7 linked regions of the Canis lupus familiaris genome follow. The protein of the gene in region 2 purifies or fractionates together with the protein of the main gene of each other region. This does not show direct contact. Links are inferred from orthologs where the notes say so. Each region holds a gene or a part of one and is shown on either strand. Other genes may lie near its edges.

Region 1 (4,202 bases), on a different chromosome or scaffold from region 2:
GTCAGAAACACACTTTAAGGGCAGCCCTGGTGGCTCAGAGGTTTAGTGCCACCTTCCTAGAGACCCAGGATCGAGTCCCGCATCGGGCTCCCTGCATGGAACCTGCTTCTCTGCCCCTCTCTCTCTCTCTCTCTCTCTGTTTCTCATGAATGAATAAATAAAATCTTAAAAAAAAAGAAAAGAGAAGAAACACTTAAAAAAGACCATGATAGTTAGTTACTATGTGGAGAATAGTAACCAGGTTTTGCTTCTGGGCAAGAAGCAGGAAAAGATTGCAACAACTTGAAAGATATATGGTCAGAGGTGCCAAGTACTGGTGATTAACTTTAATTAGATTGGGAGGATAGAGGGTCAGTTTGGAAAAGAGAAAAGGCAAGGACAATGCCTAAGAGCCTAGCCTGGGCAATATGGTGGATGTGGAGCCGTTTGTGAAGATAAGAGATAGCAGAGCTGTTGCCTTAGGCAAGAAGATAATGAATTCAATTTTGGATAGAGTTTGAAATCTATGTAGAGATGTCAGTAGACAGCTGGAAAACTCTGAACTGGATTTACAGACCTAGGAGTTATTCTGACATGGTGACTGAAATTGCCAAAGTAGATAAGAATATCTAAATAGCAAGAGATGCGTGTGTCTTCTGATATTAAATACAAAATTAAGTGGTTTTTCCACAGTTGAGAATTCAGGGCTTTTATCAAATCCTCAAAGATGAAAACCACGAGTAAAGATGGTATCAGAAGTCCTAGAAGTGGCAAAAGATGTCTCGGGTGAAAAACGTGTAGAGAGAGAAGAAAACCCCAAATAACACCAGCACGTAAGGAATGCAGAGAGAAAGAGCAGTTTGCAGAGGAGCACAAGGAGAGGCCAGATGAGTACATGGAGCAGCAACAGTGTAAGGTACCGAAGGAGCCATTCAGAGGGGAGTTTCCAACAAAAGCAAGTGGTCAGTTGTGTAGACACTAGCGATAAGGAGTGAAACATCTGATGGAACTGACAAGGTCGTTGGCGACCTCAGTGAGAACAGTCTTAGAGCTGTGCTGAGCGCAGAGGTCCCTCATGTGAGCAAGCGGACATAGCGAACGCAAACAATTTTTTGGAAAAGCTTGGAAGGAAGGGATATAGGAGATGGCAGGGTATCTGGAATTAAGGGAAGGCTCTTTCAAGATGGGGAAATATTTAGGATGCAGCAAAGTGGTCAAGAATTTATCATCAGGGGTCATTGTGAGGTTAAACCCAGGCGTTTCCAGGTACTGTCCAACCGCCCACAAGCCACTTAACACTTCTGAGTCTGTTCTGACAAACGGAGAACAAGAAAAATAACCTCTGGGGACTTCTGTGAGGAAATTAAATGAGATTATGCTCATAAACTATTTTTGAGCACTTGAGCCACCGTGGGCACTGGGCACAGTAACTTCAGCAAATATTTGCTTATTACAGGAAGAAATGAACAGAGAAGTTGAAAATAAGGGGAGAAATGGAAAATGATGGATTCATCAATGCCTCAAGGACCAAGGAGAATATATTACGTTTAGCCTAAAACAAGAATAAGGGGTAGCCCTGGGTGGCTCAGCGGTTGAGCACCTGCCTTCAGCCCAGGGCCTGATCCTGGAGACCCGGGGTCGAGTCCCACGTCGGGCTCCCTGCATGGAGCCTGCTTCTGCCTCTGCCTGTGTCTCTCCCTCTCTGTCTCATGTATAAATAAACAAAATCTTTTAAAAAATAATAAAAATAAAACAAGAATAGGGGAAATTCACCGTAGCCGGGGAGGGAGCGCAATCGTCCTTAATTTTGCTGAATGGGATCCCTGGTGGCTCAGCCGTTTAATACCTGCCTTTGGCCCAGGGCGTGATCCTGGAGACCAGGGATCGGATCCTACATCGGGTTCCCTGCATGGAGCCTGCTTCTCCCTCTGCCTGTGTCTCTGCCTCTCTTTCTCTCTGTGTCTCTCATGAATAAATGAATAAAATCTTTAAAAAATTTTGCTGAATGGGCAGCTGCGGGGTGGGAAATGGTAGGCGGCGCAGGAGTCTAAATAGCTGGAATCAAGTAAGAGAATGGGATGAAGACAAAACCAATTAAGTTGCAGAGTGTACCTCTGCGAGGGTACCGCGGAGGGGAGAAGAAAAAACAAAACAAAACAAAAAACCCCGCCAAGTTGGGCAAATTTTCTCCAGGAGCGCTGGGCAGCCCCAGCAGGTAAAGGCCAGCAAGACTGAGGACCACACATTTGGGAGCAAGTGTTGGAGGCAGTTCACGCGAAAGGCCGACCGGCCTGGAGGAGAGCCCAGGATGGGCAGCGGGAGCGCCAGGGAGGCCCGGGAGCAGCCAGGAACCGGAACCGGAACCGGGCCCGGCGGGGGGCGGGGGGCGGGGGGCGGGGGTCCGGCCCCCCCGCCCCCCTCCCCGCCCCCGCGCCGCCCCGCCCCGCGGGCCCGGGCGCTCCGGGCACAGCCGGCCCCGGGGCTTACCAGCAGGCCCTCCACGTTGATGGGGTCGCGGCACCGACGGCGCACCGTCTCCTCCGCCGGGTCCACCAGCAGGCTGGGCAGCTTCCGCGCCGGCCGCTGCTGACTCATGCTGCCCGGCCGGCCGGCCCGCGCCTCGCACCGCGCGAGCTCTCCCGCCTTCTCCCGCTCCCGGCCGGGCGCCGCCCCCAACGCGCCGGTTCTCGGGGGCCGAGCGCGACCTGGGCCCGCAGCCCGCTCGGAGGCGCCGCTGCCTGGGCCGGCCCGCGGGCGGACGCGCCGCAGCGCCCCCGACCCCCGATCCGGGGAGCTAACACGCAGCCCGGAGGCGAGCAGGGTGACCCGCGGCTCTCAGGACGCCAGGCCCGCCATCTTCCCGCATGCGCAGTGCGCCGCCCCCACTGCGCACGCCCGCCGCGGCCGCCGCGCTCCCACGCACTAACCCCCTCGCGGCGCCCGGAGCCCGGGAAAGCCCGGACGCGAAGTCCACGGAGAGGATGGCGGAGGAGAGGAAGAGGTGGAGCCGGACCCCCAAAGAAGGGAACGGAGCCAGAGAAAAGAGGCGGCGGGGCGAAGGAACGCAGGCGCCGACACTCAACACCGCTGAGCGCGCGGCTGTGGATTTAATCTTGAGCTCCCTCCGGCCGCCCAGGGCTGATGCTTAGTGAATGCCGGTAATCAGCCCGCTGTGCAGTTGCTTACAAGCTGCTGTCTTTCTCTTCCTTTTTTTCTTTTTTCACCTGATGAATAAACTGTTACCTGTTGTGTCAGGTGTCGTGGTGGGCACAGGACATAATCACCGGAATCTGCCACAGACTCAACCTCAAAGTCCAACAGAGGAAACAGATGAATAAACAGGACATTTAAAGCTGGAGCTGGAAAGTGTGTTTTCAGATCCCCGCCTCTCTCCTTATTAAGAGGACAAGGCTTTAAGCAAGTTACTTAAAAAAAAAAAAAAATCACTGTGTGCCTCAGTTTCCTCATTCATGCAGCAGGAATAATGAGAGTGCTTATTTCTTAAGTTTGTTGTGAGAATTAATTAAATTACTTAGAAGGGTGACAGGCACGTGTTTGAAATAAAAAGGCAATGCGATGTGGTTAAGTACAGCGACTGAGCCCTGCAGTGGTTAGGCCAGGGGTTCCTACCCAGCCTGAGTAGGGCAGCAGGTTTCCCCAGAAGCAGCTCCCCCACTAGATTATAAACTCCTCCAGGGAGAGGCATTCTCTAATCTTTGTATCTCCAGCATCTAGCACGGTGCCTGCCAAATAGTAAGAGCTCAGTAAATGTTTGCTAACTAAATGACCTGAAATAGAGAATAACATAGGGGCTAAGTTGCTAGAAGATTGGATTTTGTTGCTGAATGGAGATTTTCCCAGAGTGGTTGAAATACACCCTTACCAACCAGAGTCCCCAGGAAGGCAAGCTCTGGAGACTAGAATGTTTTTCATAAAAAGGCATAATCCACTGTTTGCTATATGTTTGGCATTCTACTAAAGTTTCTGCATACATTTTTGCATGTAAATCTTATATCAAAACTGAAAGGTGGGGCACCTGGGTGCCTCAGGGGTTGAGCATCTGCCTTTGGCTCAGAGCGTGATCCTGGGGTCCTGGGAACGAGCCCCATATCCGGCTCCTCGCAGAGAGTCTGCTTCTCCCTCTGCCGATGTCTCTGCCTCTCTCTCTGTGTCTCTCATGAATAAATAGATAAAATCCTTAAAAAAAAAAAAACCTGAAAAGT
Region 2 (3,578 bases):
ACCTCTTTCACACGATGATGACCTCCTAAAGCTCACCGCAGAAACACATGGTGGGTAAAGTGGCCCAACGAAGATGCTCATCGCACTCCTCCATGAGAAATGCAAGCTACGAACAAGCACCTGCTAAGGCCCCAGCACAGAGTGCCCACTGCCCATGGGGGTCTATGGACACCACAGATGCCCGAGAAACCCTCCCACAGGGACGCACAATAGCTGTGGTCACCCCCACCACTTACAGGACAGATGGTGGGAGATAGCACATATTTAAAATATCAGAATACCCAGGGCGTGCGGGGGGGGGGGGGGGGGGGGGGCTACCAGCAGGGGTCCTGGAGGGCTCAGGAGAGTGACTTTCTCTTCACTGCATCCGTTTGTCTTTTTTAAAAAATGAGTACGTTTCACTTCCACAGAAAACAAAGACTCTATAAACCCTACCACTTAGGCTGAGGGTCCCACCCACAGCCCCCGCACCACCTCGCACTGCTGGGACTCCTGGCCTTCACTCAGCTTGCATCCTGGGTCCTGCCCACATTCACCACCATGCCCATCTCAAAGTCAGCTCTCCTGGGACTGGGGGTCCACGGCAGAGGGCAGAGCGCCAGGTGGGCCAGGCCCCCTCTCCACAGCACACTGCCTTCCTCGGGGCCCCCAAGGATGAGCCCCATCCACACTGGCCGGGACTCTGGGCAGCGAGGGCCCCTCAGTCCACTGCGACCAACACGTAATACATGTCCTCCATGTATCTGGGCTCTGCGAATGGTCTCAGCTGGGCAAAAAAGCCCTTTATTGCCTGAAAATACTTAAAATCACTCACCTACACGATTTCAGAAAGTGAAAAGGACCATCTGCTCAGTAAAAATAAGCACAATGTTTACACGATTCCTTCCCCTTTCCAAAAAAAGGCAAACTTGGCTAAGAAACAAGTCTAGGCTCTGCTGACAAAGAAAAAAATCTCTCGGCCACTTTCAAATGGAGGGTTTGTATTACAGCAGATACTTCAACTACGTACCTCATCTTGCACACTGCTAGCGTGTGCACAAGGCAGGACACAGCACACACAGGGTGCTCGTGGGGCTCCAACCCCCCCCCCACCCCAGCCCTTACCCTCGGCTAGCTCACCCCAGCTCATTCCACCACCACCCCAGGATCAAAGCCAACTCCACTCCAAATTCACTTCTCTGTGGCCACACTTCCCAACACACAGCCCCTCTTCCAGGCCTGGCTGCCCTACCTGTCCCACAGGATTTGGTTCAGGGACCAAACCCCTCGCCTGCCTCTCCTTTCACGGGCCCAGGATAGGGAGAACTCTCTCGGGGTCCCCAGTGCCCCCTCTCTGGCCATCACCCTGTCTTGCCATGTGGTGTCCAGAGCTCAGCGGGACTTACAGCTGAGACCGGGTCCGAGTGTGCAGGCAAAGTCTTGAGGCACTTCCCTGTTTTCACGTCCCATATCCTCACGCTTTCGTCAAACTGAAGACAAAGGAAGAGGTTAAGGCCACTCCACAGGGAGGTGGGAGAGGACAGGTCTTCTGGAACCCAAGGCCTGCCACCACGGCCCCCATCCCCCAGCAGAGAAGACTCAGGCTCAACTCCTAAGTCTCTGGCTACAAAGTACCACACCCCCACACCCCTACAACACCCCAGGGGAAGGGGGGGTTAGACTTACAGAGCCCGAGACAATGAGGTTGGATTGGGGATTGAAGTTACAGCAGAAGACGTAGTTACTGTGCCCCTTCAGGGTTTTCAGACACTTTCCCTAAAACCAAGTATCGTCAGACTGTTAGTCCTAGTGGTTATTTCAAAGCTGAGCCCACAGCGGCCCAATGGCACATACCCCACAGAGCAGGGCCACCCCATGACCCAGGGTCCCCAGACCCCCCTCGGACTCCCGCCCTGCCCCTTGTCCACGCACACAAGCTCTGCCGGGGCGGGGGTTGGGCAGAGCAGCTCACCGAGCTCACATCCCAGATCTTTAGGGTTTTATCATCTGAAGCAGAAACGAGGAGGTTGGAATCTGATGACCAGGCCACATCTGATATCCCCTGGGGAGCAAAGACACAGGGTCACCGCCTTGACAGGACAAAATACAGTTAACCAGCAAAGGTCAGAACATCCATCCAAAGATAAATAAGCACCTCACTCCACTACCCAAACCCTCTAGCTACTGCTGACCACACAGACGAAACACCGCACAGTCCCCAAAGGAGAGTGTGTTCTCTTGCAGTCAGGCAGAAACTTGTCTGGGAAGGTCAGAAGTACTTGCTTAAAAGACAAAAGGAAAAAAAAAAAAAAAAGACAAAAAGCAAAGAACTATCCAAAAAACTCCGGGGGAAAGCTTAGACCTTAACCTGCTGAGCTCTGGGGATGGGCCCCACCCACCAGTGGGGCTAAGGCGGCCAGTGGGCAACCTCCACGTGCAGGGATGAACCTACCAGCTTGTGACCAGATATGGTTTTCTCAAACTTTCCGTCATATGCTCCCCAAATTTTAATGAGCTTATCAGCAGCTGAAAAAAAGAAAGACAAAATAACTGTGATGGTACAGTCACCCCAAGGGCAAAATCCGGGCTGCCCACAACAGGAGCCCTGGAAACAGTGCAAATCCCATGGAAAGAAGTAGCCGGCACCGGAGTACCCTTCCCCTCTCCCCTGAGCACATCATCTCAGAGTGTTACGTAAAGGGCTCCAGCCCCTGCGACACCCCAGTGGCAGCATCAGAAAGCAAGCCCTCCCCCTGCTCCGGGCTTCTGGTGGCAGCACAGACTACCTTTGACAGGAGCGGAGGCCCTGGTGATACGTACATGAACTTGCCAGCCACTCTCCATTCGGGCTGAATTTCACGGAGGACACGGCTTTTGTGTGGCCAGCCAGGGTGAATTTTAGAGCGTAGTTTGGTTTAACAGGGGTAGGCTGTTGAAGAGAGAATACTAGTCATCAAACCATTAACCACCACCTTGCTTCAAACTCAGAACCACCTTCTAAGTTCCAAATCCTGCTAGAACTCTCTGGAAGTCCTTTCCAACTGGTCGTGTTTAAATCTGGGCTATTTCCCCTCGGCAGCCCTGCTTCTCCTGCAGCCCCCACCTTCGTGCCCAGCTCTTCCAGGACAGCTCAACACAGAGGCCCCTCAAGGCCTGACCCCACCCCAACGTCCGACACGCATCACCAAGTCCGGCAAGCACAGCCTCCCTCAAAGCAAACCTGAAGGCTGTAGCCTTGCTCAAAGGCCTGTATGTGCCGCCTGGTGTCCAGCAAAGGGGTTTGCAAACCTGCCTGGCCACCAGAACTGTGGACCAGGGGGATGCTGTATGAGAGGCTTTCTGGGTGCTGCAGAGATCTTACGATCAGGAACAAGGATCTATGTTGTGATAAAGCCCCTTCTCCGGGGGACAGGTCTGGGGATCCTCAGCACGGTAAACAAGCACTGATTAGGTCTGTGGCCCATAAATAAAAACACAGTGTCTAACTGAAGAGGGAGAACAGACTTGGAAGAAGCATCTCTGAAGAGTACTCGGCCTAGGCGCCCCTGGCAGTTCCCCTCAAGCCCTCAGGGACATGCCTTGCTCTGCGTAGCCGAGGA
Region 3 (4,355 bases), on a different chromosome or scaffold from region 2:
ACCCACAGAAAATGGTACCCTCCTCTATCCACCCTCCAGTTTGCATTTCCAACCCTACCACATTTTTTAGGAGTCATGAGATTTCAATCTCTCCCTTTCCACCCAAGAACAAAGAAGGCCTCGCTGGTCCTCACATGCACTCACACACCTCCAGGCTCCTTCTCTGCTTCCTCTTCCTGACAGATCACTTGGAACCGTCCAAGATGTCTTCACTTCCTGCTCACTCTTCACCCACCGTCGCCTGCCTTTTCTACAACTCTGCTGAAATACTAATTTTTTCATGGACTTGAAGGGTGCCCAAACTTGTAGCTTCTTTCTAATCTTCACACTACTAAATCTATTACTAGATTTAGCTCATGTCACTCTTGCACTAGGTGTACTGATCACCCTGGTGTGTTTCAAATACATCAATGCTTCTGTTCCTCAGCACACATTTAACACGAAAAACATCACCTTACCCTATTAATTTCAGGGTATAGCTCAACACCCCACTGATACGACAACTACTTTCAAAAAGTTCAAGGGATCCCTGGGTGGCTCAGCGGTTTGGTGCCCACCTTCAGCCCAGGACGTGATCTTGGAGTCCCGAGATGAATCCCACATCGGGCTCCCTGCATGGAGCCTGCTTCTCCTTCTACCTGTGTCTCTGCCTGTGTGTGTGTGTGTGTGTCCCTCTCTCATGAATGAATAAAACCTTAAAAAAAAAAAAAAGTTCAGTGGTGCCTCTTCCTAAGCACCTCACATTTATAATTTAAAGTCTGTCCTTGCCACACCTACCACCCTACACCACCATGTCTTCCGGTGTGCTCCCCATCCCCAGCAATGAAGGGTTCTTGAGAGGAATCAGTTCTTCTCATCTTCAGTCCAATGCTTTAACAGGTGCTAGATGTTCAATACACATGAACTTTCTGAATCCATATTTATAAGATTCAGGGAATCAATGTTCTGGCTCTAAATCATTTAGAAAATCTACTGTTTCACATCAAAGTAGTTTGCCAAGGACATTTTTAAGCACTTAGATTTGACTCATAGTTGAGCAAATATGGTTCCAATTCAGCTCATTCCAGGTTTTAAGTAACATTTGATTCAAGTCCCCCATAAGAGCCAAAGTCCTAAAATGAAATAAAGAGAGTAGGAAGGAGGTGGGGGAGAAGGTTGGATAGTGAAAGACAGGAAAATTATCAATACCGGAAAAAGCTGCCACTGCTACAGGCATTCATCATGATCTCTATGGGTTCAACACCGGTTTACCTTTAAATTCAAGGACCAGTCTCTTCACCCTACAGTTACAACAGAACAAGGGTCCACCCTGAAAGTCACACAAGGGAGTTTAGTTTACTAAGATACAAACAGACCAGCCTCTACAAGGTCAAGACCAATCAACCTTCCATAATTCTTTCCATGCCAACCAAGATCATTGGTTAAACATCTGTCTCCACTCTTGAGGACGAAGGTCTGATCACCTGGCTCCAAGTCTCTTCACCTCCAAGCTTAGCCCTCATAGCATATAAGCCACCCCAGGTAATTTTACCTGCACAAACTTTAATAAAAAGAATGTTGTGAAGATTCACCTGAAATAGATATTCAACTAAGATTCACTTCCACAGTGCAAGAGTAACACCCTGACGTTTAAACAGATGTATTACGGGGTGGGGTGGGGGGGGGGGCTTAGAAAAAACTGTATCTTTTGGTATGGGCCTGTTCAATGTTCACAATTTTAGTGCTACCTGGATATCTTCCACATTTACTGTTTAATCCCAATTAGGAAAATCAAGAAATAGGAATTAGAGGGTTTCAAACGAAGCACTTCCCACATGATTGCAGCTGCACAGCCCAGCCCTGTGAGCTCTGGTGGCTGGCCACACCAGGGGCTGTTCACTACACCCCAGCAGCCTGGACCTGGGGTTCCCACCTGAGCTCCATTCCCTTCACCTTGTCCCCACTCTCGGGCCCCCTGTTCTGGGAGCACAGGCACATGGGGTGGGCAACAGGAAGGATGCTCCTGCTCCAAATCTGCCTCAGAAAGCAGCAAAGTAGCAACTGGCTGAGGTGGCAGATGGGTTTGGGGGACTTACCTATGCGACAGGATGCCGGACCCCCACCAGGCAGAGGCCCGAGACGTGGCCCCCCACCCCATGTCCTCCCCTCCTCTCTGGTCAGGAAGTAGACCCCTCTACTGATAGTCCCAGTAGGGCATGACCCAGATCTCCACGCCTCCCTTCATGCTCCCTCTAATCCTGGGTCCTTTAGAGCCCCCGTGTTCCAGCCTCCAGGCCGCGGGTCTAGAAGTCGGCCCCCAGGTCCCCTGCCGTAGGTCCCCTCGCTGGGTCTGCTTCGGAAGGTCGCTCCCCTGGGCTCGCCGGTCGCAGGTCCCGCAGGACCCCCACCCCGGGTCCTCCACCTGCCCTCCGCGGGTCAGCTCCCGAAGGTCCCTCGGCCGCCCCCCAGGTCCCCTCCCGCAGGTCCCTTCCCCCGGCCCCTCGGCCCCTCGGCCCCCCAGCCCCGGGCCTGCTCGGCGCCCGGCGGCCCAGCGTCGGCGCAGCCAGGCCGGCGGCCCGGGCGGCGGGGCCCAGACGTTCTGCGGCCAGGCGCGCGCCCGCGGCGGGAGCAGGGACGGGACGGGGACGGCGACGGGGACGCGGCGGGCGGAGGGCGCGGGCGGGCGCGGGCGGGCGCGGGCGGGGGCGGCGCGGTACCTGCGGGTCGATGTCGCCCACCGCGTAATACTTGACCTCTCGGAACATCTCCTCGGGAACTTTGGGCGCCGGGTCCGACATGGTCGCGGCGGCCGCAAGGCTCCGCGGCGGCTCCCGCCCCGCCCCGCGGGGCCCGCTCCCCAACCGCGCGGCCGGGGCCCGGTCCTGCGAGTCGGGCCCGCTCCCCCGCCCTCCGCGCCCCCGCCCGCGCCGAGCGGCCCAAGCGCGGGAGCCGCGCGCGCCCTGCGGGACGCACCATCCCGCCGGCCGCCGAGGGGGAGCGCCGAGGGCCCGGCCGCCCGCCGGCGCCGCCCCCCACCTCCCCCGCGGCTCGAACCTCCGCGGGCACGGCCCCCACGAGGCCCGCTCCACACACCCGGAACCCGGAGCCGCCGCCGCCTCGAGAGGCGGACCCCGAGGACGCGGACAAACGCGCCCCCCCCCCGGCGCGGTCCGAGTGGGCCGGTCCCGGGAAAGAAGGGAACGCGGAGGCCCCTCCCGTCAACACGCGCGGCCGCTCGGGCTGCGCAGGCGCGCGGCGCGGGGGGCGGGGCTTGCGGCCGGCGGCGGAGGCGATGGCGGCGCGGGGCGGCCTCGGGCCCCGGAGGGACTCCTGTCGCCGCCGGCCGCCCGACGGGACCGAGGTAACGCCGCAGCGCCCGCAGGCGACAGAGGTCGGGTCTCGGGCGCTCGGCCCCGGCCGAGGGGCGGGCGCCGGACGGCGTGCGGGACGGAGGGCGCCGCGGCTGGCCGGGGTCCTGGGCCTCGCCGGTGGGCGTCTCGCCGTCGCACCCGCAGCGCACTCCTGCCGAGGGAGGCCCTGCCCCCCCCCACACACAGCCCCCGGCGGCGGCCCGTCGTGACGTGCGCGTTCTGACGTCACCCTGCCGGCGCCGCCCTGACGCGTCCTCTCCCTGATGTCACCCGGCGGCGCCGCGGAGCTGGCTGCTGTCACCTGCTGAGTGGTCAGCGTTCTCGAGTCCGTGCGAGTGCGGTTGGTTTTTTAAAGACCCGGGAACCTCCGGAGTTCCGTTCTGGGGTCTGCCTGAGCTGTGCGGTCTGCGGGGACGGGCGCTCGGGGCGGAGCAGGACGGGGTGGTGGGACCGGGGAGGACGAGGCAGGATAGGGAAGGATGGGGAGGACTGGAGAAGACGGGGTGGTGGGACCGGGGCAGGACAGGGCAGGGTGGGGGAAGATGGGGGGGATGGGGGAGGACGGAGCAGGACGGGGTGGTGGGACCGGGCAGGACAGGGCAGGGTGGGGGAAGATGGGGGGAGATGAGGAAGGACGGGGAGGACGGAGCAGGACGGGGTGGTGGTATCAGGGCAGGACAGGGCAGGGTGGGGGAGGATGAGGATGAGGAAGGACGGGGAGGACGGAGCAGGACGGGGTGGTGGGACCAGGGCAGGACAGGGCAGGGTGGGGGAGGATGAGGAAGGACGGGGAGGACGGAGCAGGACAGGGTGGTGGGACTGGAGAGGAGGCAGCAGGATAGGGGAGGTTGGGGAGGATGGAAGAAGATGGGGTGGTTGGACTGGGTAGCCCAGGAGGACGGGAGAAGAAAGGGAAGGATTGGTGGGGGTGTTGGCTGGCCGGGGAGAACCAGGCAGAACGAGGAGGAGGGAGCAGGACAGGGAAGGATGGAAGAAGATGGAGCA
Region 4 (3,578 bases), on a different chromosome or scaffold from region 2:
CGGAATATGGTGATCTCAGATTCAGGGAAATGAAGAGGAGGGGTGGTGAGCACTGGAGGACACACCAAGGCCACAAGCAGGATGAGTACAGGCAGAAAAGATGCGCCAAACACTCTGAGGAGCTGTCGGCCAAAGAGGTGGCCAGCGGGAGAGTCACTCTGGCCCTGCGGGTTCAGACCCGAGCACAGGGCGGTCAGGGGTCACCTGGTGAGCCACGGGAGGAGATAGCCCCCACCCTGCCCTGCTCAGCTCTTGCTACAACCAGGCAGCCTTCTCCGCCTGCTTTCCTGAGACCTCAAGCCCTTGGGGGAGATGGAGGCAGACACTGAATCCATATGGATCTCCGTGAGGGCCATCCGCTGCCCTGCCATATGGCTTAGTATGGGAAGTGCTAAAATAAGTTCTGCCATCAGTTCTGTTCAGAGAGCCATGCCGTCTATGTGGGAAAACAGAACACACATCAGTTACAAATGGCCATGAAGAAACAAAGCAGGCTCAACGGGAGTGGAAGTTTGCAGGGTTGTGACTGGTTTTCTTCTCAATAACCTTTGCTCATAGACCTGTGACCACCCCCACCCCCAACCTGGAGAAACAATGGTGGTCACTGAGGCCGACCGCCAAGACACGTGGAGGACACCTACCTGTGTCCATCTCGTCAACACTGTTCAGGAAGTCATCTGGGGTTCGAGGGACGCTGTAGCTGCTCATGCTCAGCCCACTGTCTGTGCTTTCATCCCGGGAGTGGTAGGTGCCACTACAAAACAGGAGAATTCAAGACCTACACCAACATTTTAAATGATTCCAATGTAAAGGTGAACACGATTCTCTAGGAGGGTCAGTGAGACTCCTGCCTATAGTATGTGGAGCAAGCATCACCCAGTCCCCGGGGCTCACGAGGGACCCATGGTGGGATGTGACACGTTTACCCTGAGGCAGGCATAGCTCTCCCACGAGTCTGGGGCTGGTGGCAAGGAAAGCAGAGAAGAGAGGCTCGCAGCCTTCCTTGAGAACAGAAAATTCTCTGTGTGCTGTCCTGTCATGCCATCTGAATCTGGCTTCTATCATCTCCCCAGTGGGTCCACACAGGCTGCAGGGGACAAGGGATGCAGCCCCTTGTATACAGAGCTCAAGCCAAGGAAAAATCAACCCAATACAAACCCACAAGGCCTTTCTGAACTGGGCCAAAAGGGAGGGGTCACCACTGAGAAGGTAACAACTCCCCTCAGGGAGGCTGGGGGCCTCAGGCAATTAGGTTGCAGGTCGTGACCTCAGGGTTGCAGGATGAGCCCTGTGGCAGGCTCTGCGCTCAGTGAGGTGTCTGCTCCAGATCACCCCCCACCCAACCTGTGTGCATGCTCTAAAATAAAGCTCCAATAAAAAAAAAAAAAAAAAAACAAACAAAAAAAACAAACCTCCCCCAGCTTTGCCTTCTTGCTTCTTCTGTTTAGGGGGAAAGACCCCAAACACTTTATTTAGCATGACACAGCAGTCCTGAGAGTTCCAGCTAAGAAAGAGATTTAAAACCCCAAGCATTGGGCAGGTCAGGTGGCTCAGTGGTTTAGCGCCGCCTTCAGCCCAGGGCATGATCCTGGAGACCCCGGATCGAGTCCCACGTCAGGCTCTCTGCATGGAGTCTGCTTCTCCCTCTGCCTGTGTCTCTGCGCCTCATGAATAAATAAAATCTTAAAAATAAATAAAACTCCAACCATGCCAACAATTCTAAGGTATACACCTTCAGGAAAAACAGAAAAGTACGAGTGAAGATGGATTTTAACTTGAGGCTAAATGGTTACACATGTGTGGTCAATATCCCCTCAATCCACAGACACAGAACATGTGCCTGAGCCAGTGCCACACAGACAGCAGCCGGCGTGACTACAGGATTTGGAGTTCTGCTAATTCTAGAAAATTGTACAGCAAATAAAGGTGACTGGTACTTTTGATGGTCTCCGACGAGGATGTGAACTTTAACTTTCCCCCAAGCCTGGAAACTTAGGTAACTATTTAGCTCACATAGCTTTTGTTTTGTTAAAAAACAAAAACAGCTAAGCTTTCCTTAGAAATAAGCTGTAACAGTTGCTCAAGGTTGAAAACTCAGTCCCCCAAATTTCTTCCCTAATTACCCAAAGGAGCTACCCTGTCCTCCCTCCCCTCACTGTGTATATTGAAACCATGGATTACTCTAAAATCTGCCAGATTTTGGCAAGAGTCAAAAGCCTCACAAAGACCCAAGAAAACACAAATTTGCCTCTAAGACCATTTGTCCACCGTACCACTGTGTTCCATCCTGCCTGGATCTGGGAAAGGGGCCTGGTCACACTGCACTCCTGCTGTGAAGAGTAGAGCACAGACGGACACCGGAGACGCTGCTGTGGGGAGGCTGAGCTCACATGGTTGTGCGGGACTCTTTTGGAGCCACGAGACAAGCATGGGCTGCTTCTCTGCCCAGGGCCCCGGCCCATGCCTCCCACAAACACACAGAGCAGGCATGTCCTCAGGCTCTGAGGACAGAGAGACAACTACAAAAACCTACAGATGATGGTTTCTGAGAGACTCATAATGTCGAGGAGACAGATGAACATGTGTGTTAATGAACTATACTCAGGCGCTATGTGAGCAAAGTGCTTTGAGAACAAAGAAGGAGCATGGGAAAGCAGGATCTTGGGATTCTGGGGGGCAGGGGGACTCTGTGCCAGGGCTGAGAGTCAACCTGGTGGTCAGTGTGAAGTCTCCAGGATATGCTTGAATCCAAGAGAGAAATGGAACGTCAGATGAGGGTTTAGGACAGGGAGTACCATACAGCCTGGAAAAAGGATTCTGCCCTTGGTCCTAGTAATGCCGATCACCTGACACCCAGTGACCTTTACCAAGAGACAGAATCTCAAACTACAGCCTAGTGTTCATGAGACATTCTCAGGAAGAATTTGCACAAAGGATGCCCAGCCTATATCCACGTTCTATAGTCTGCCTCTACCCTCGGGCCACACGAGGCCCAACAAGATGGACATTGCAATCACACCAAGCTGAAAGCTTCCTTGTGGGGGGGAAAAGTCATGTGGCTCTGACCTTTCCTGATTCACTGTTGTCTATGTTCAGAGCCTCGTGTACATACACTCAGGTTTGGCAGAACCACAAACTCCGAACACATCTTAGACAGTCTTCAAGATCAAACCTAAAAAACCAGGCCCCCAACCCCAAGTCTAAGACTGAGCAAATGGAAATTCTACTGGACTGGACTGCATGTCTTGGTAGGATAAAAGAAATTTCTTTTTTTTTGTTTAAGATTTTATTTATTTATTCATGAGAGAGAGAGAGAGAAAGAGAGAGAGAGAGAGGCACAGACATAGAGAGAGAAGCAGGCTCCATGTAGGGAGGCTGACGTGGGACTCGATCCTGGGACTCCAGGATCACGCCCTGGGCCGAAGGCAGGTGCTTAACTGCTGAGCCACCCAGGTGTCCCAAAATTTTGTTTTTCTAAGATCATGAAGTTTGCAATTCATCTTCTGAGAACTGAAAGCGTAAGAGAACAGCTTTCCTAAACCAAAGGACCTTTAAATGTTTTTAAAGGTGCATTGTTT
Region 5 (4,336 bases), on a different chromosome or scaffold from region 2:
GTAAAAAGCCTCAATGCATCTGTGCCAGTCAAAGGGCATGTGTATTAGCAGCTCAGGGAAGTCGCATTTGCAGGAAGGCACTACAACTGCGTTCAAAAGAAAATCATTAGGCCTCGGCCGTTAATCCCCTCCCCCATGCTCCTCATCAGGATCCTTCAAAGCAATTAACCAGTAGAAGGTGCTATTCTGCAACCCGCAGTATTCACACCAACCTCCATCCTTGGCCCAGAGCTGGGTTTAACCCAGGTGGGATCGGTCAGCCTATTCCCTGTCCAGTATTTAACGAAGACTCTACACCAGCCCCCAAAAGAGAAAATCAGATCTGTCTTTATAGCCCCTGTGTACAAAACAAAACAAAAAATGACATCTCAATGGCCAGCAGACCTATTATCAGCCATCAGACCACTAATATGTCAAAACACACAGACATCCTTTACTAAATATTAATCTCAAACACGATCTTTTTCATCTTAATTGAGACGATCTACTTCTACCTAGAAAAGGCCCTGGTCACATTCACTACAATAAGAGTCAACTGAACAAATCACTGTCCCCAACAAAGTCAGGGGCAATGAAGAATAGGAAAGCTGACTACAAGGCCACGACATATAAAGAGGGATTTTATCTTTACATACACACAAAAAAAGAGCAGCAGAAACTAGGGCTGCAAAGGAAAGAAGGGAGGTGGAGAAGAGGAGTCTCTGAACAGGTTTTTGAGTGTCCTTTAGTTTCCGGTATACTCTTCTGCCTCTTTTAAGGTTGGAAAAAAAAAAAAAAAAAAAAAGGCCAGACATGAGATGGGTGAAAGAAAGCTGAAAAAGAAAAGCGTCCACCCTTCCCCCCATCTTCTCTCTCCTCTCTCCCAAAAAAGAGCTGTGTTTGTCTGTGCAAACCTAGTCCCAAATATGGGAGAGAGAGAATGAATGTGTGTATGGAAGAACAATGAGCCCTCAGCCTGGTATTGTGTGTGTGTGTGTGTGTGTGTGTGTGTGTGTCTGCCTCTGCCTCTTTTCCCTTCACCCTCAACAACAACAGGGAGAGCTAGAAGCCAGCTTTCCACCCAGGCCATCAAAATCAAAACTGGTTTATAATTTACAGTGGCATTAACTCAGCAAGGAAATCCATGGAAGGAAACAGCTACCCAAAGATGATTTTATTATTGTATAGATCCATCCTCTCTCCCCTCCCCCAACAGACTGAGACTAAAAGAAACCAGTGTACACCAGACAAAAAAAAGGTCTCTCTTTAAACGGAAAGCAATTATCAAAACAGTTTCGTATCTAAACATAGGGTGCATTAATTTGTGTGACATCAAAATGTTTGTTTTGCAATCCACGAAGTTTCCCTTTTACTAGTTATCTTTTCTGCGTTTAAAAATTTGCTTTGGGGAAAGCTATTTCGGGATTCATACAAAACTACTTTCTAAATGTCCCTTAAAATAGCAACAACACACACTGAAACATTTAAAGCACCCAGTTTCTCAAGGACACGTTTTTTGCTTAAATCAATGTCTGAAGTCTCTAATCCAGAGAAATTGCAAGCAAACCTTGGAAAAGAGGCAGAGGAACATGACAATTCGACAATGAATCATTTTGTTTTCCTTTCAACAACTTCTCAAGCAACCACTTTCAAAGGAAACCTGCAATACTCCCCCCTCCAACACACACACATCTTATGTCAAACTACTACCTCTCTTCTTTTCAAAACCTTCAATAAAAATAAAAATAGAAGCCACTCTCTCTTTCAGAGAGCAGAACTCAAACATGGTAGTAAGAATCCTATTCTGCTGCAAATGATTTGGGGGTTTTCGTAATAATTTAGGAACCACACAGAGACCTGGAGATGTAGAGCACAAAGAGGGAATCTTTCCCTAATGTGAAAATGATACTTTCAAAAGAGTCCTTTCCACCACCACCACCACCACCACCACCAAGACCCCCAGACCCACAAACATTCAAGAAATGTACAGTCTGGGTCCCTGACTTCCCTTCCTGCCTCCCCACCCCAACCCCCAGTTTCAGCCAATAATTTAGTCACATGAAACAGTTTAACCCTCAGACAAGTCAAACAAGACCATGAATAAGCAGCAAAGAAAGAACAGGGGTCGGCAGGCGAGTGGGACAGTTACCTGGCCCGCACAGGGCCCAGGAAGTCCCCGGCCCTTTATTCCCGACACCCCCCGCCCCCCGGCCGCGCGCCGCTCGCTGGCCGCCCCCCCCACCGGCGGACCCGGGGCGCCCACGCCGACCCCCTGCCGCCCCGCGCCGGCGCCCGCGCCCGCGCCCGCGCCCAGGACGAGGCGCCGGGGGGACGGCAGCAGCCCCACGCCGGCAAGTTGGAGACTTACCTTCCCCGGATGCGCTACACCATCAATGGAGGTGTGTTCGTCCGGCTCCCGGGAAAGTGGGGGACGGGGCGGGGAGGCCGCTGGGCTCGGGCCGACGAGGGGCCGGCCACGGGGACGGGGCCGGGGCCGGGGGGCTGCGGGGGCTTCCCTCCCGTGACCTCGGGGCCGGTCTCCACCAGCCTCCCTGCTGCTCGCTCGGCCAGTCCTTCAGGAGCGGGAGCCCAGGATCATGTCTGGTTTTGTGTTCCTGAGGGCGAGGGGCTCCCTGAGGATGATGCTGATTTTTCCCCCCTCAACTAGGAGAGAAAAGAAACAGAGACAGTGTGGGAGGCGAGCGAGGGGAAGAGCGGCGGGGAAGCGGAGGCGGGGGCGAGACCCGAGGCGGGCGAGCGTCTGGGGCGTGCGGGAGGAAGAGGAGGCTGGGAGCGCGGGGGGCGGCTCGCGAGCGTCTGTGGGAGTAGCGGCGCCTCGGCGATGGTGGCCGAGCCGCGGCGGGGCTGCTGCACCGACCCGCCGCCCACTCCGCGCTCGGGCCCGGCCCACCTCGCAGTATCGCGCCTCGCCATTGGCGCGTCCCGGCGTGACGCGCGCGGAGGCCGGGCCAATGGGAGGCGGAGGGCGGGCGAAGGGGCGGGGCTTCCTGCGCTCTCTCATTCTCTCCCTCTCTCTCCCTCTTTTTTTTTTTTTTTTTTTTTTTTTTTTTTTCTTTCTAATAAAAAAGAGCAGGAGAGAAGGAGGGGAGAGGCTGGTCTGTACCGACGCGGCGGCGGCCCGGGCTCGAGCGCGCGCTCCGGGCGGCGGCTGGCGGTGGGCTCGGCCCCCGACCGCGGCGCGTCTTTGTGCGGGTCCCAGCGGCGCCGCGGGCCGGGGTCACAATTTGCGGTCGCAGCCACTTCGGACGCGGACTCGTGTCCCTGGGAAGGGGGGCGGGGGGAGGAGGGGGAGGAGGGGGGAGGGGGACTCGGAGTGGGCTCCAGCGATTCGCTGCAGGACTCTTCCGAAATTCTGATTTCAGAAGATTAATTAAGAAAAGGAAAAACGAAATTCGCAGGTCGCGTTGCTTCTTTGAAAAAGAATATAATAAAGAGGCAAAGCCCGGAAAGTCTCATCAAGGAATAAAGAAGGGTATTAGGGAGCCGCAGAGGGTATTAGGGAGAGAGCAGTGTGCACAACTCTATGCCTTAAGTTGGAAAAATTAAAAAAAAAAAGAAAGAAAGAAAGAAAGAAAGAAAAGAAAGAAAGAAAGAAGAAAGGAAAGAAAGAAAGGAAAGAAAGAAAAGAAAGAAAGAAAGAAAGAAAGAAAGAAAGAAAGAAAGAAAGAAAGAAAGAAAAAGAAAGAAAGAAAGAAGATCACCTTTTTCTTTTGAGAAACCTAGTATTCTGGTAAGGCTGGTAATGACAGGGTCCGCGGTGCTGTAAGGGGAGTGAGGGGCAGGCCAAATGCGCATACTCTTGTTTAATATAATTTATAGGAATGAGAGGTTTGGAAATTTTAATTATGACGAGCAGTTTTTGAAATGCATATCATGCTTATTGAGTTCTTTCACACACCCTGGCACGAATCCAGGGCGAATCATCAACCTATTGTTGGTTTGTTAATATACTGTAAATGCTTATTGGTGTCCTTATACCATACACTCTCCCTGAAGGAGTTCAGATCTGTATATAATAGAATAATTAAGGGATAGAACACAGCGCAAAATAATTCGCTCATCTATTTCAAATAAAGTGATAATTTTCTCTTTGGAATATCCAGATTATAATTTCCATATCCAGCAGTTTCTTTTAAGAATAATTTGGACTGAGCAGATATCATTGGGCTGTGACTCCATAGATTGAGAAACAAAACGGATCTTTGCCATAACCTCTCTGAGTAACTTTCAGCAAGAAAAACCCTCTCTTGCTGCAATTCCTTCAGCTATGAAATGGGAAAGGTAGTTAATACCTCATTACATATCTAATAATGTGAGAACTGAAAGTTACAACATA
Region 6 (3,578 bases), on a different chromosome or scaffold from region 2:
CAAGAGTTCTTACCCAAAAAGATTTCTGGTGAAGTGAGAGGTATTCAATACAAGTGGAAAGAGTGTGAATCTAGACGGGAGAAACCAAAGCCAAAGGAGTCTACGTTTCATAAATTGAAGATGAAAGATCTCAAAGACTCAAGTATAGAGATGGAACTGAGAAAGGTAGCATCTGCTATAGAGGAAGCAGCGCTAGATCCCAGTGAACTGCTAACTAACATGGAAGATGAGGATGATACTGATGAGACACTGACTTCTCTACTCAATGAGATTGCCTTTCTTAATCAGCAACTAAACGATGACTCTGTTAGCCTGGCTGAACTGCCCAGCTCAATGGATACAGAGTTCACAGGGGATGCTCGACGGGCTTTTATCAGTAAGCTTCCTTCTGGTAACCGAGCAACTTTCCAGGTTGGCCACTTGGGAAGTGGTTTGAAAGAGTTGCCTGATGTGCAAAGGGAGAATGACTCTGTCAGTCCTCTCCTCTTGCACTTGGAAGATGATGACTTTTCTGAGACTGAAAAACAGCTTGCTGAACCAGCCTCTGAGCCAGATGTCCTTAAGATTGTTATTGACTCGGAGATAAAGGATTCCCTCCTTTCCCACAGGAAAGCCAGTGATGGAGGGAAGAGTACTTCTGGCATCCCTGCAGAGCCTGAAAGTGTGTCCTCGCCTCCCATCCTACACATGAAGGCTGGTGTAGAGAACAGCAGCACAGATACTTTGTGGAGGCCTATGCCAAAGTTGGCACCTCTAGGTTTAAAAGTAGCTAATCCTTCTAGTGATGCAGATGGTCAGAGTCTCAAGGTGATGCCTTGTTTGGCACCTGTAGCTGCCAAAGTTGGATCGGTTGGACACAAAATGAACTTAATAGGGAATGACCAGGAATGCCGGGAGAGCAAGGTGATGCCTACACTGGCACCTGTTGTGGCCAAATTGGGCAACTCTGGGGCCTCACCAAGTTCTGCAGGGAAATGAACTTACTTGTCCTCAGGCAGAAGCCAGGCTATGAGGGAAACCTCCTTTCTCTGTAGGCATCTGTTTATTTGTGTCATGGAACTGTGATCCTTGACTTTGATGTGGTGGATGATGGTAGAGAAAGGGGGGTAGGGTGCTGACCTCGATATTAGAAATTACTACTATGAAATTCTGATCATGTTAAAATGTGTTACCTCACTTGTGGTGCTGGGTCTCCTCATCCTCTCTAAGAAGATGTGATCCATTACTGAACACGAGGTGCCCCTCTTACCCAAGGAATTCATAACAAGACTCTAGGTCCATAGTGGTTCCTAGTTCTTCCCTCCCAGAGAAAAAGCTGCTTGAGACTTTGGAGTTGCTATGGGCTGAACTGTAGTGGATAGCTTTTGTTTTAAGTGGTTTAAGTCTGAAATCCAAGGAATGTGATGCACTTGTGTGAAGGGATTCAGAAGAGAGAGTTTTTAGTTGGTGTTTCAAGAGTAGTGGGAGAGACGATGGGTACCATGGAATACCAAAGTGAAACACTTTGTGTCATTCAGCAAAATTTTCTCTTTCATATCCCAAGTAGCTTCCATTCCCTTATCTTTTCAATCAACTATAAATCCAAGCCTTCTGGTAAAGTAGGAATGCTTTTACAAAAGTGATTATTTTGAGATGTTAAGGAAAGTACTAGTTCTCCCTTACTGTCTGGGTGTTGAAAAGACATTTCACAGTACCAGGGATTTCTACCTGGAAGACATATTTTGGAAGTAGGCATAGAGGGAGCCCTCCCCTTTTCACAAATCCCATCACTCAAGAGACAGCTAAACTGAAAAGCATTCCCTGCCCAGACCAGAGACAGTGGCCAAAACAAAAATTGTGGGGCTGGATGTTTCCTAAATCAAACCAGCCTCCTGGTGCTTGAAGGTTTCATTCACTATTACCTGCACAGGATGTAAAGAAAAGAAAAGTCACAGTAGGCACTCTTTACCAGGGAAATGAGGCAGTATTTGAATCACAAGATATATTTTTTATTATCTGCTACCATGGATTCAATGATCTGTAGAGCTTTTTCACTCATTAGCTGTCAGGGTATGAAGGACTGACAGCCTGTAAAGATAAAGATATTTATATTTTTGTATAGTTGTTTTCATAGATTTCTCAAAGGCTGAAGTTTTCAACCTAGAAGATGAGATTTGTATTGAGTATAGAAATGATGTTTCCTATCTAGTTTGTAAATAATCATGGTGCACTTGAGGGGTCTCTTGGAAACTCCTGGGGGCAAGAATCACTATTCTGAAAATGTATAGATTGGGATTTAGCTGCTGCATTTTGCCTTTCTTAAATAATTATATTTTGGAATGTAACCCCTGTTCTGTCTTCATTGACAGGATTTGCTTGTGTTGTGAAACACTAACACAAGAGCTTCCAGTGCCTGGGCTGTGCCTAGGTGATGCTATTTCTTCTGCATCTCCCCCGCCTCGCCCCCCCCCCCCCCCCCCCCCGCCTTCTTTATGCCAAATCCTACTCAACATATCTTCAGACGTAGGTTGTGAGACCAGCTTTGAAATGGTTCTAGCCAGTGAATTAGTACTTCCATGGTTGGTACCCTTTCTAGTATCTCTGGTAATCAGCAGATTGTAAAAGGGTGGAAAAATTTCCTTTGCAAATTGCAGTAAGAGCAAATTCTTTGTTGTTTTTTTGCTACTTGCCTTTCTAGACCTGTGCATCAGCATTCGACCTTCCCTCCCTTAAAGGTTTTTGAAGAAGCTTGAAGTAGGTATTGAGTGCCTGTCAGCTTCTCATGATCCCTACCACTCTTTACCCAGCAGATTTCATTCAATGCCTTAGCCAAGGAGTCCAGCACCTGTCTCCCCTGCTAATAATTGTCCTTGGAGATCCTAGTACTTTAATCCAGGTATAGCAGTTTCCCATTATTAACTTGCTTGCCTCGTCCTCACATTTCCTCCTGACTTCCCAAGGCTCTTGTTATGGCTTTTGAGGGTCAGCCAAGGAGAAGGCAGGTGAGTGAATAATCCTCAGGAAAAGGACCATTCTGATTCTGAACACTGTTCCCTTTTTTAGAAGAAAATAAACAGGTATTAATCGTTCTTGATGGGAAGATATTTGACATAAGATTTGTTGTACAAAGATGGAAATGATGATTCCAGGTGTTTAAGAAAGGCTGCAGATGTCATTACGAACTCCCAAGATAATGGTTATTTTCAAGACCTTAAGAGGGCTAATTTGAAGGAGGGCTCAGTCTTCAGAACAATCCTGCAGTCTTGACACAAATCTCAAATCTCCAAAAACTCCTACCCTTTAACCTTACCCCAGGACAAACTGATCTATGAAAATGACTTGTGTGATTATGAAAGATGTAGTTGAGTGAGAGGAGTTGAGAAATTGGGAGGATAGTGAGCTCTCACCCTAACACTATAAGAAGCATGATCTCAGTAGACCAATAATTCGCCTTTTTATACATCTGTAAATAAATGGAATGTTTTTAAGAATATAATTATGTCAGATTTAGCCTTTTCTTTTATATATTAAATATATATCTTTCCTTTTCTGCTTTTGAAAAATGACTATTTTTTTAGACATAAGAACAGAAGAAGTTT
Region 7 (4,252 bases), on a different chromosome or scaffold from region 2:
CCCAGGGGCCTTGTGCTGGGCGCCCGACCTCTGTGTCCACAGGCGGATCAGAGGCCTGGCTGAGGGGGGGCAGGGGGTGGGGCCAGCCCAGAGCCGCAGAGGGGGAGCCAGGGAGGATGGCCAGGCAGGGCAGCTGGGCCGCAGCCCAAGCAGGCTGGAGAGGAGACGCGGTGAAGAAACGGGAAGGGGGAGGGGGATAGGGAGACACGGGGAGATAGGGACACAGAGAAGGGAACAGAAGGGGAGAAAGGGGACAGCGGCAGAAGGACAGAAAAATGGGCTCCTCAGTTCCCTTTGAGATGAAGACTTCAAAAGCCCAGGGACACAGGTGAGCCACCCCTCCAGAGACCTGGACTGGGCTCCATGTGAATAAAATTCAGGGTGGGGTGTACAAACAGCACCCAATGGGCGGGGAGACCCCCCATGAAGCAGGGATTCTCCATGAAGCAGGGATTCTCGGTGGCCTCTGGACAGCTGGGAACCTGGGTCCCACCTCCTCCTCCCCTTTCTTCATAGGGAAGCAGCCAGCAGGATGAGTCTCACATACATCAGGCCTCATTCTGGTCCTTTACTGCCTTGGGGGCCCTGGACCTCCTTCCCTGCACATCGCTTGCCTGGGATGCAGGAGGGAGGAAGACCCATACAGCCCCCTACCCCCACCCCTCGGAAGTCCTGGCCAAACCCTGTTGGCTGGAAGTGGGGACAAAACCAGATTCTGCTGGAAGAACCCACCCTTCAACCTCGGCTGGGCCCACTGTAAAGTGCTCTGAGTTCTCCGGGGCGGGGAGGCCAGTGGCCAAAACTGGGTCCTGTAAGCGAGAGGTCAAAGCCTGACAGCTCGCAGAATATCCACAGCAATGCTGGCCACACCGGGCCCACCTGGGAAAGAGGCCAACAGGTCCTGGGACAGGTTGAGGTGGGAGGGGTATGGCCGGAGCCAAACCCAAATCTTTCCACCGGAGGGGACACAGGAGTCAAACCAAGCCCTCTGGCTGGAAGGCTCCCTGAACCAAACCAGGTAGTTTTACAGTCATGGGTTGACCCAGACGCATGGGCAAGAGGGGTCAGGGGGCCAAACGAAGTCCTTTCCAAGAACAGCACGTCAAACAGAATCCATCGCGGCAGCTCACTGGTCCAGTGAAGCCTGACTCTGGGAGGAGAGAGGCTCAGCAGGTCTGCAGGGTCGTCCCGGCCGTGGCGGCCGCCTCCTCAGACACTGATGGTGCGGAAGACTGTGAAGCCTGACAGGGCGGTGCTAACGAGGACCCCGGGACACTGTGGATGCCAGTGCAACTCCTTCAGGTCTGTCTCGCCCTGGTGCACGAACAGCAGCTGCTGGGGAAGGTCCGCCAGCCCAGGGTCGGTCTCCGTGTCGCCTGCCTCGGGGTCCCGTTCAACTGCCAGGTCCCACTGTGTGATCTGGTTGTCTGCCCCTGAAGCTGCGAAGACTCCGCTGTCCTGGGGGTGCCACTCAACAGAGGTGATGGGGGCCACGTGCTGCTTGAAGGTGGCCACCGGGGAGCCGGACTATGGGAAGAGGGGAGTCAGGGGTTCTGGACACCCCAGCCTGACTCCCAGGGAGCCCTCACCACTCTCCAGCCTTGGGGGTTCCACTGGGGCCCCACCCCTGGGACTTGCACAAGCCCAGGTTCTCTGAAAGGGGCAGAGGGCCAAGTACATCTGGTAATAGAGGCATAACATCCTGGAGGCTGTGGGAACTGTGGTTTCACCTGCCAAGCCCTTCCAGCTCCAGGTCACAAAGTCCCCACCGCAGGTCCTCCCTGGACATGCCTCAGGTTCCCTTCCTATAAAGGGGGTGGTTCTCGGGGGCCCCCAGAGTGGCTCAGTCATTTAAGTGCAGACCCTTGGTTTCAGCTCATGATTTCAGGGTTGTGAGATCAAGCCCCACGTCAGGTTCTGTGCTCAGTGTGGAGTCTGTTTGAGATTCTCTCTCCCTCTCTGCCCTTCACCCCACTCATACTCACTCTCTCTCCAAATGAATCTTTTTTTTTTTTTTAAGATTTTATTTATTTAATCATTAGAGATACAGAGAGAGGCAGAGACACAGGCAGAGGGAGAAGCAGACTCCATGCAGGGAGCATGATGCAGGACTTGATCCCAGAACCCTGGGATCACCACCTGAGCCAAAGGCAGACGCTCAACCACCGAGTCACCCAGGCATCCCTAAATAAGTAAATCTTTAAAAAGGAGGGGAGTAGTGGTTCTCAAACTGCTCTCTCCCTACTGATTCTATGAAGGCCTTAAAGAGAACAGAACCATAGCTCCCAGTGTCCAGAAAGAAAGAAAAGCAGCACTTCTACTAACTCAAAGGTGCAGCTGAGGACTGGAATCTCTCTAAACTGGAGAAGTAGTTCCAAAGTCCCAGTGGCCAATCAACTTGGCCATGGAACCTGGCCCTACACCTGCCTTGGGGGCTGGAACCGGTTTCTAGAAGGTTCCTCAGAGCTGACGCTATAGAAATCCTTACACCTGAGGAGAGAGAAGATGCAATGTCTCATGTCCAGAGCCCCTCCTAGCTCTATAGTCAGTTGTCACTGGGTGTGATGTCACATCTGTCCCTGTCCTTCCTGTACCTGTTTCCTCTCCTGCAATGAGCAATGTGGGCTCCAATTCTCAGCTGATTCCACAAAGCTCACTAACATAAAGTCTACAGCTCGCTGAGACTCCAGAAGCCCTGGGCCACGTGGCCAGCTGCTCTGCTTGCCAGCGGGTAGATGGGAATGGGGAGTCTCTGCTGCTACCTGGCCGCTCGTCTCCTGTCACCTCTCCAGCTGGGGGGTGTGTGTGTCAAGCCACCCTCCACCAGGAACAGCCTTTTCCTGCTGAGCCCTGTTCCTCATCTGCACCCCAAAAGGGCTGGACCCCAACTCAACAGGCCCTCCCAGCTCCGGTGTAAACAAGCACCTAAAGAAGGGAAGCCTGCAAATCCCAGGGCCGGCTGGGAAAATACCTTGAACTGCCTCAGGTCCCAGATCTTGAGGGCTCCATCGTCCCCGCCGCTGAGCAGGAAGGGTTCCCGGCGGCTCCAGTTGATGACATTAACATCTCCATCATGGGCAGAGGTGGTGGTGAGCATGCAAGCCTTGCTGGGGGCAGCCCGGATGTCCCAGATGCGAATGGAAGCATCAGCCGAGCAGGAGGCGAACACCTAGACAAGGCAGGGCCTGGGTGACCTCGGCGTACCTGCCACCCCAGCCTGGACCCCAAGGACGACTAGCGATGGACTAGTGCCCCCTCACTGTGCCTAGCTCCCGTCCCATCCTCCTTCAAGGCCCAGGAGTCCAGACCACCAGCCCCCCTCACCGTGTCCTCAGTTGGGGACCACTGTAGGTCCTCCACAGAGCGTGTGTGGCCCATAAATGGCCGCTGGTCCACATGCCAGGAACCACCATCCGTTGGCGTCCAGAGGTGGATGTTCTTCTGGCAGTCTCCGGTCAGCAGGCGCCCTGGAAACGGAGTCAGGAAAGTATCAGGGCCCAGATGGCCACAGCTCCCTCTTCTCCAGCAATTTTAGCTCCCACCTTCCCTACAGATCCTGCTCCCTCTCACACCCCCAGGACCAACTGTGCACCCCAGGGACTCACCAGACACCCGGGGGGACCAGTCAAGAGCAAAGCCCTCGCCCATGTGGCCAGCAAAGGTGAAGATGGGCTTGACACGGGCCTGCTCATCCCGGAGGAAAGTCGCCAAGGCCTGGGGATCATCCACCACCTGCAAAAGCCGCCGCAGGGCAAACACCTCCACCTGGCCCTTCTCTGACCATATACCAGCCACCGGCTCCTCGCCCAGCCAGGATACCTGCAGGGGAAGGGACAGGAGGCTCAGGGTGGTGACCACAGCTCCTCACAGCCCCGAGAAGCAGAACTGCAGCCCCAGGGCTAGGACTCCAGCTCCCAGAAGCCTTGGTGGGGACAAAAATCACAGCCTGCAAGATCAGCTTGGTACCTGGGACAACTTCCCATTCTATGTAGAGGCATTCCACCAACCCTTGGAAGAGGTGGGAGGTGCTCAGACTACCAGTCCTTGTAACCCTCTAAATGTTGGTGAGTCACAGGCCATCATCCTTGGTTCTCTTTGCCCTGTACATCTGCTCACTAGAAGATCCCGTTCAGCCTCAAGGTTTCCAGTGGTCCCTAGTCTTGACCTCTCCTCAGCTCTAAGCTCCTACCACACTGACTGTTCAGATGGATCCAAAACCGAGCTCCCGATTGCCATCTGCAACCTCCTCCAC

What was found.
Region 1: the proteins of WDR5 (region 2) and E2F6 purify together in Homo sapiens (affinity purification with mass spectrometry; 4 studies listed by BioGRID and IntAct, counting the BioPlex papers as one, with this or other methods). This does not show direct contact. The link is inferred for Canis lupus familiaris from reciprocal best matches to the Homo sapiens genes WDR5 and E2F6.
Region 3: the proteins of WDR5 (region 2) and PAXIP1 purify together in Homo sapiens (affinity purification with mass spectrometry; 7 studies listed by BioGRID and IntAct, counting the BioPlex papers as one, with this or other methods). This does not show direct contact. The link is inferred for Canis lupus familiaris from reciprocal best matches to the Homo sapiens genes WDR5 and PAXIP1.
Region 4: the proteins of WDR5 (region 2) and YAP1 purify together in Homo sapiens (affinity purification with mass spectrometry; 3 studies listed by BioGRID, with this or other methods). This does not show direct contact. The link is inferred for Canis lupus familiaris from reciprocal best matches to the Homo sapiens genes WDR5 and YAP1.
Region 5: the proteins of WDR5 (region 2) and RERE purify together in Homo sapiens (affinity purification with mass spectrometry; 5 studies listed by BioGRID and IntAct, counting the BioPlex papers as one, with this or other methods). This does not show direct contact. The link is inferred for Canis lupus familiaris from reciprocal best matches to the Homo sapiens genes WDR5 and RERE.
Region 6: the proteins of WDR5 (region 2) and MGA purify together in Homo sapiens (affinity purification with mass spectrometry; 5 studies listed by BioGRID and IntAct, counting the BioPlex papers as one, with this or other methods). This does not show direct contact. The link is inferred for Canis lupus familiaris from reciprocal best matches to the Homo sapiens genes WDR5 and MGA.
Region 7: the proteins of WDR5 (region 2) and GRWD1 purify together in Homo sapiens (affinity purification with western blotting; 3 studies listed by BioGRID and IntAct, with this or other methods). This does not show direct contact. The link is inferred for Canis lupus familiaris from reciprocal best matches to the Homo sapiens genes WDR5 and GRWD1.

What each region holds. Positions count from the first base shown.
Region 1 is NC_049238.1:8,186,890-8,191,091, forward strand, and holds the start of E2F6 (transcription factor E2F6), read right to left. Parts: upstream 2,829-4,202; 5' UTR 2,575-2,828; coding exon 2,467-2,574; intron 1-2,466. UniProt on the Homo sapiens protein: Inhibitor of E2F-dependent transcription. Binds DNA cooperatively with DP proteins through the E2 recognition site, 5'-TTTC[CG]CGC-3'. Has a preference for the 5'-TTTCCCGC-3' E2F recognition site.
Region 2 is NC_049230.1:50,410,401-50,413,978, reverse strand, and holds part of WDR5 (WD repeat-containing protein 5), read right to left. Parts: coding exon 3,558-3,578; intron 2,909-3,557; coding exon 2,800-2,908; intron 2,506-2,799; coding exon 2,432-2,505; intron 2,042-2,431; coding exon 1,952-2,041; intron 1,756-1,951; coding exon 1,666-1,755; intron 1,470-1,665; coding exon 1,386-1,469; intron 1-1,385.
Region 3 is NC_049237.1:18,846,213-18,850,567, forward strand, and holds the start of PAXIP1 (PAX-interacting protein 1), read right to left. Parts: upstream 2,846-4,355; 5' UTR 2,778-2,845; coding exon 2,697-2,777; intron 1,652-2,696; exon of another isoform or gene 135-1,651; intron 107-134; exon of another isoform or gene 1-106.
Region 4 is NC_049226.1:29,537,496-29,541,073, forward strand, and holds part of YAP1 (transcriptional coactivator YAP1), read right to left. Parts: intron 755-3,578; coding exon 642-754; intron 1-641. UniProt on the Homo sapiens protein: Transcriptional regulator with dual roles as a coactivator and corepressor. Critical downstream regulatory target in the Hippo signaling pathway, crucial for organ size control and tumor suppression by restricting proliferation and promoting apoptosis.
Region 5 is NC_049226.1:62,759,620-62,763,955, forward strand, and holds the start of RERE (arginine-glutamic acid dipeptide repeats protein), read right to left. Parts: upstream 2,823-4,336; 5' UTR 2,348-2,822; intron 1-2,347. UniProt on the Homo sapiens protein: Plays a role as a transcriptional repressor during development. May play a role in the control of cell survival. Overexpression of RERE recruits BAX to the nucleus particularly to POD and triggers caspase-3 activation, leading to cell death.
Region 6 is NC_049251.1:9,095,109-9,098,686, forward strand, and holds part of MGA (MAX gene-associated protein), read left to right. Parts: coding exon 1-978; 3' UTR 979-3,578. UniProt on the Homo sapiens protein: Functions as a dual-specificity transcription factor, regulating the expression of both MAX-network and T-box family target genes. Functions as a repressor or an activator.
Region 7 is NC_049222.1:108,488,132-108,492,383, forward strand, and holds the end of GRWD1 (glutamate-rich WD repeat-containing protein 1), read right to left. Parts: intron 3,820-4,252; coding exon 3,606-3,819; intron 3,468-3,605; coding exon 3,325-3,467; intron 3,170-3,324; coding exon 2,972-3,169; intron 1,528-2,971; coding exon 1,210-1,527; 3' UTR 549-1,209; downstream 1-548. UniProt on the Homo sapiens protein: Histone binding-protein that regulates chromatin dynamics and minichromosome maintenance (MCM) loading at replication origins, possibly by promoting chromatin openness.